2 linked regions of the Caenorhabditis elegans genome follow. The protein of the gene in region 2 interacts with the protein of the main gene of each other region in a biochemical or structural test. Each region holds a gene or a part of one and is shown on either strand. Other genes may lie near its edges.

Region 1 (3,074 bases), on a different chromosome or scaffold from region 2:
ATTGGATATTTTATTTTTTCGAAACTTTTGCAATCGGCTCGGCTTTGGTAGGAAACTATGTATAAGTACTACTTTATCTTCAATTCTAGGGAATTCTCGGTTTTATTGTGAATAAAATCCCTAGGACTGATTTTTTCCATGTATTAATTGCCATACGAAATTTCTCGGAAAATGTTCTTAAAAATCATCAAAAACCAAAATTCAACGATCATTACACTTTCCACAAAACTACAAAATTGGCACCCAAAACTCAATTTCAGGAGCTTTATTACTATATAGTCGGCACATTATGTTAGAAATTCAAGAGATAGACGCCTCAATGGATTTATTACGGCAACTACGATCCTTGAAACAGTATCCATAATGTTTGTTCAACCCCTGCAGGGAAGACACCAACTGTTTCATTAATGTAATCCTGACTGATTTTCCCGGATTCTACCATTACAGTTGCAGGGTACAATTGCACAATTGGAAAATTCTTAAATATAAGGGCACTCATAAACTTAATAAAAAGTCAAATGTCAAACTGAAAGCTGTTTTTATTTGTTCAACAGAAAAAGAGGAAGTGAGATAGAAAAAGAGAGAGAGAGTAAAAAGAACATTGTTTCTGCAGCGTTTTCAAAGAGAAAAGGAGAGGATAGATATTTCTTCGGAATTGGAATTGTGGAGTGTCTGGAACATCATTTTTGTATAAAGTTACATTGAGAGGAAAGAGAGAAAATGTTGTGTCATGTTGTTCGTTCGTTCGAGCAGCAACCGTTTATCCAAATCGGAGAGGACGAGGACCGAGACCACGTTTCATTGATCTGAAATTTTAAAATTAGTTTACTTTTTTCTGAATCGCAACTAATTTATTCTAGCTGAATGCTCGTATTTCGGTAAATTATTAATTATAGCGATTTGCAACTTATTCTACAGTAAGACTTGACTTAATAAAGATGTCTATCAGAAAATAATTAAACTGGACCTACCCATGATCGTCTTCGGCAACATAGTAAACTCTGTCACTGCCGGGTCCGAATTGCTCCAAATATGCGTTCACTGAAAAAGATTAATGATTAATCTAAATCTTTAACTTTGACAAAACTTACAAACGCGGAGCGCATCTTCCTGATCGATATAAGGCGCTGCGAGGACCCACGCGAGAAGACACGAAAGCAAGATGAACAGCCGCATCGTCTGAAAATGACTTTTTGGATTTTGGAGCAATGAGAGGGTGGGAGATCAAACGTTGAATACACAATCAAATCTTAAATAGTGTACATAGTCATCGTTGTAAATTTGCATTTGTTAATGAGATTCTTGCGAAGCATGATGGGATGGGGTGGAAAAAAAGAAGTTTTGAGATAAATAGTAAGACGGAAGTGATCACTACGGTAGCTTTGAAACAAGAAATGAATATTTCAGTGTATCCCCTTCCAAATCTACTGGACTACTCACAAAAATGACCTTTGCTCCAAGAGCAACCACCCATCCTAGAACCTAGGCAAATGATACATCGAAATGTTTTTTCAGGTAAGATGATGTTATATGTATACGTGATTCCGGTAAAAGTTTTTTCTGGGAACTATGAGGAGGGTGTATGTGGTGGGAAAACAGGATAGCCCAATATTTATTGGGCACGTCATACTCGTTGCAGAGCATAGTTGAGGTGGCCGGAAATCGCGTTAAAATATGCTATGACTTGAAAACAACAATGGTCCTATTTTGGAAGATGTAATTTTACGCGATAATTCAACGAGAGATTGTAATAAAGACGTGTAGATTTTGAGTAACCATAAAATATGAAAAATTCATGAGTATTACAAATATGCAGTTTTTGGAATAAAGAAAATAGCTGACTTGAAAAATCTACTGCTCGATGACTTTGTCTAATTACGGTCTTGAAAGAAAGCAAACAGCGTCTTGTGCATTATGAGGTTTTTTGAATAAAAGGAAGTGTGCTCCGCTTAATTAAGATAAACATGTTTCAGTGTAAGTAGTTGGTCCCGACTGTAAACGCATCAGAAAACTTTAAGGTGAGAACAGTTGAGTTTCAATGCACGTATTTGATACAGCCAAAAGTTATTAAACTTTAATTGAAAAGTAGAGATTTCCACAACACATCTAACCTTTTAAAAATGTGACAGTTGATTTGAAAAAAAAATCTAGGACTGAACTAGGAAAACTGTTGACATACGTTCTTCTTTCTTTTCCCCTTTAATACCACATTGTTTTGGTCAAAAAAGTCTTTAAGATTTTTAATATTCGCAGACATCTCAACCAAATGAGGAACAGTCACAATGAAGACCACCTCAAAATGCATGTAGGTTCTTCTTTTTTCTGATATTTTTGCACAGCCTTCCCCAAAACATTCACAAACACATAAAAAACACCAACCAATTGATATACCCACAAAAGTGATGTGAAGAGCAAGTGGGAGTAAGATAAATGTGATGAACGATGAGGTGGAGGGTAAAAGTGATGAGAAAATGTAGTCTTACAAATATTCAAAAAAGTTGGTAGTTTTTGATACGATAAGTTTTCGATGAAAACCAAAAAAAGAAATAAAGAAGCTTTATGAGCCGAAAAAAGTAGAGATTTCCACGATTATCGAGTTACTTCGGGGCACATTTCGTCATCATCGAAGAAGAGGAAACAAATTTTCGTTGGCTCATTGACTTTCAAAGTTAAACTTCTTTAGAGAGTTTAGCGAGGCATAAAAACTTGAAAATTTTGTAATTTTTGGACTCGGTTTCAAACTAAAGAATGGAAAAACTTTTCCCTGTCCAAATGTCAAAGTCGCATAAAAATTGTCATTGGTAACAAAAAAAGTAGTGTTTTAGTGGGTCAGTAGATCAAATTTAACATTTGGCAGGTGAAAGAATTTGTAGAGGTACACGTCAAATGCTGGTTTTTGACGCGTTTTCTCCAAGATCTCTTATATTTTGGTTTTGGAAATATCAGCATTTTACGAAGTGGCCACCTAACAATTACAGACGAGTATTCACATCACCATATGTATTTGTGATTTTTCGAGGAATGATATCGAAGACTGAAAATTAGAATAAAATTCCAGGATAAGAAGGCTTTGG
Region 2 (3,756 bases):
TGAAATCAGGCCTGAAAATGTGATTAACGTTTTTTAAAGAACAGAAGAGCAAGAAAACATATATGAAAATAATTGGGATAATTATGGGAAGTGAAAAAGAAATAATGCAAGATAATTGGTCAAATCAATGAGACAAATGACGCACCAATTCTCTTCACAGAATGTGCCGCAAATTTCGTCGTATACTGCAATGTCGCTGTAGATGCCTACAGGAAGTGCTAGAGAGTATCCGAGAAGCCAAATGCAGAAAACAATGAAGACAGCTCTCGGGAAATTTACTATCTGCAATTTAAAAATTTAGACAAATTATATAGATTATTAAATTAAAAATTTTATTTTAAACGCAATTTTTAAATTAAAATCAAATTGTATCAAGGGTATTTAGATCGCCATGAAAAGGATGTTATCATGTTAGAGAATCACCTTTCTTCAAGCTTACGCCCCGGTCGGCCTGGTATAAGGCTTTTAACGGGTAGGCGTAGGTCGCCTTGAAGACAGGAAGGTAGGTTAACACAGTTTCCCGATTGAAAAAACGACTACAAAACGGGAAAGTTGAAGTCCTTGATTGTCCAAGGATCAAAATAAAATGACCAGTCTAATTATTTTTCCCGCCTTTCAGAAGATCATATTCTGAAGAAGAACAAGTTTCCATTAATATTGTACTTAAACACACAAAGAAATACATAGAAGATTTTTACTTGGAAGACATTCTCGACAATAATACATGGAAAAAATAATGAAAAGAGGCATAGAAAAAGAAGGCTCCAAACCACATCAATTTTTATCTGCTCAGAAAAGTTTACTGCAGAACTTCTGGACTGTTTTTTGGGGAGAGCCTACCTCCTGATTTGGACGTAGAATTAGTACACATCTGTCCAGAGCAATAACTGTTAATGTGAATGATGAGACAAAAATCGTACCGCCCTGAAAAGTTTCTGATTTTAATTCAAATTTCTGTTCGCTCCTGTTATTCTGATTAATACACAGTATTTCAGAGTCTAGACATTTATTTATAAATCCTGAAAATCTTATACAAATCTCACCTGGAAAACTCCGATCAACTTGCAAAATATAGCAGGAAATACCCAAACTCTTGAAAATATAGAAATCGCGGTAATTGGCAACGAGAAAAGGCACATTAGAAGGTCTGAACCAGCTAGACATCCAACAAATACCGTCCTAACTGACAGTGATACCTGAAGTTGGCAAATTAGCTTAATGAACTCTTTTCGGGCACTTTGAGCTCAATGACGAATTCTGGAGGTGGTTCGGTAATTGTACTTTCAATCATGTATGAAAGATTCTTGATTCACTAGGAAATTCGATGAATAAAATACCGGAAATTTGAGATGATGGTAGTATCAAAAACAATTTTTTTGAATTGAATGCGAGAAGAGAGATACGGAAGATTTTAATGAAGCCTAAGAACTTTCAAAACTGAAAGTTGAAGTCCTCAAAAATCCTCTTAAAAGGGGGAACCGCTCGTATTTTTTGAAAAAAAAAATTCTATGTAGTATTCTGATTGTTTCAAAAAAAAAATTCCGGAATGGTACAAATTTTAATTTAAAATTTTTTTTTAGAAATTATAACCAAGGTTTTTCAACAAAATAACACTTTTTCTCATATAAACTCGAGAACAAAGTCGATTTTTCTCAACAAAAAATACCTGATTAAAAGTGAGTACATAAAGTACTAGAGTGTTGCCAACAATAGCTCCAACCCAAACAAGAAGGTACAGTAACGAGAATATTGCTCTTATCTGGTTCATATCATTGTATTCAGGTTGCCACTGTTGTACTGTCATTACACAGTTTCGACCACCCTCCATTTTGATTTCTGTAAATATTTAAAATTTTTAAATTAAAATTTTCAAAAATTCCAGAAGAGGAGAACAAAAATATATAGCCAAGTCGTTGGGGTGAAATGAGAGATTGGAGAAAAAACAGGAAACGAATATTAATGAGGATTCATTGAGATTGACAAGGAAATTGGGTCACTAATATGATCAGAAGAAAATTTTGAAAAGAAAAAAAACCATCATAAAATGGAAATTTCAAAATTTTCAGCACGGGGAACTCCGCAACGACACCCTACCGTTGTAGCTCCCACTCCGTATTGTTAATAAATTTGAAAACATTTTCAAGGTTTTCATACACTCGATTCCACTTAAATTCACAGAGTACCCTAGTTAGAGCTGACAACAAAATTCACAAATTCATGGAGCCGATTTGAAAGAAAATACACCATTTTAAACATTAATGTCAGCGAGCCTTCTCTCTTAGAAATAGCAGTTACGTATTAAATATGAAAAATTATGTTCAATTTTGATGCGATTTCCGGAAGGCACACAAGGATTCTGAGATCGCAATATTTAAGTCGTGAGTTTTCAAAAATAATATAGCTTAAAAATTCAAGAAAACTCTTAAAAATAGCCTATTATCTGAAGAACACGGAAAAACAAGGATCCTCCAACTAAACAAAAACATAGAACCTAGAAATTATAAAAATGATGTCTAGAAAAATGTGACATCTATAATCAATGTCTTCTCCGAAAAGAAAGTGAAAATGACTCATAACTAGAAATTTTCGCCGAACAAGATCAAGCCTGATGCATAATGCAACTCCTCCTGCTTCCTTCCTTTAAAAGGCGGAGCCTGAAGCAGCTTCAGCTTTCAAGGCTTAAACGTGTGTTTCTTCTTTTTCTTCGTTCACCCCTAGCGGTTATTACTGGAAACACGAAGAAATTATTGTGAATGAGGAAGGGAGGCGGGAGTCTGTGGGGGAGTGAGGAAAAGAAGAAGGAAAAAATGGCAGGGTGCAAACTAATTTCCATTTTTCCGACCGACTTATTTTCTTTACTAATAATTGACAAAAACGACAACACGTGTTGCATAACATATGAGACAAGTAGGTTGTTTCAATTACACAAACGGACCTTTTCTTCTTGCTCCTTCCACTTCAATTGACTTCTTTTTCTGTGACAAGTCGAAAATGATAAAAAAGTACTACTACAAAAATGGGAGTTTTTCATTGAAAGGGAGTTTATCAAAATTACAGTACTCTTTTATGAATCGGAAAATAAAGATTTCCTGCAGAGACACAAACTTAAAAAAGATGTACGGTAAGAGTTCAAGAATCTTTATAATTTATGATGTTTTCAGAGTGAGTACAAGCCTATGTTATTTTCAGAAGCACAAATTTGCATAGGCAATGAAGAAAAAGGCCTTTTGAAGGGTGGTTTCGAAAATAGAGGCAACATTATTTCGGAATTTATAGATGCTAAGGAAATCCAAAGCAATGTCGCATGTTCCAACCCCTACAATGTTTTGATACAAATAATTAAAACAAAATTACAGTATAAAAAATGTAGGAAAACCATTTTTTGGTCGACTTCCAAATTTATGAGTGCCAAAAACTGAGTAATTGTCACTTTTTGACAGAAATAAAAACATTTAAAAATATTTTTGAAAATTTTTATTAGTATTTTATTAATCGGCCATTTTGATACCATAGGAGTAGTTTATAACACTTTCCCCACTGGCGCTACTTTACTTTTAAACAATGTGAATTAAATAAATATTTTTCGAAAAAGCAAGACTAATATAAGGCACTTCAACAATAAATTATAAATTTTAAGTTTAATAAATTATCAGAAAATCGGAAACACAAATTTACCAAATAAACAATTGAAAATATACTTCAGACAATTTTCAAGTGTTGTTTTTAAATAAAAGGAGAACTCTAGGAGAATTTCTA

Evidence for each region. The genes of interacting proteins can lie anywhere in the genome.
Region 1: of the proteins of npr-3 (region 2) and flp-21, one has a biochemical effect on the other in vitro, tested with the Caenorhabditis elegans proteins (one study listed by BioGRID).

What each region holds. Positions count from the first base shown.
Region 1 is NC_003283.11:7,791,472-7,794,545, reverse strand, and holds flp-21 (GLGPRPLRF-amide), read right to left. Parts: upstream 1,180-3,074; 5' UTR 1,177-1,179; coding exon 1,092-1,176; intron 1,042-1,091; coding exon 972-1,041; intron 807-971; coding exon 761-806; 3' UTR 521-760; downstream 1-520. UniProt on the Caenorhabditis elegans protein: FMRFamide-like neuropeptide. Involved in modulating locomotion quiescence during the sleep-like state called lethargus which occurs during molting between larval and adult stages, acting via the G-protein coupled receptor npr-1.
Region 2 is NC_003282.8:11,458,064-11,461,819, reverse strand, and holds the start of npr-3 (Neuropeptide receptor 3), read right to left. Parts: upstream 1,837-3,756; 5' UTR 1,829-1,836; coding exon 1,667-1,828; intron 1,197-1,666; coding exon 1,044-1,196; intron 925-1,043; coding exon 841-924; intron 283-840; coding exon 146-282; intron 12-145; coding exon 1-11. UniProt on the Caenorhabditis elegans protein: G-protein coupled receptor for flp-15 neuropeptides. Receptor activation assays suggest binding to predicted flp-15 peptides, GGPQGPLRF-NH2 and RGPSGPLRF-NH2. Likely involved in Gi/Go-coupled signaling pathways.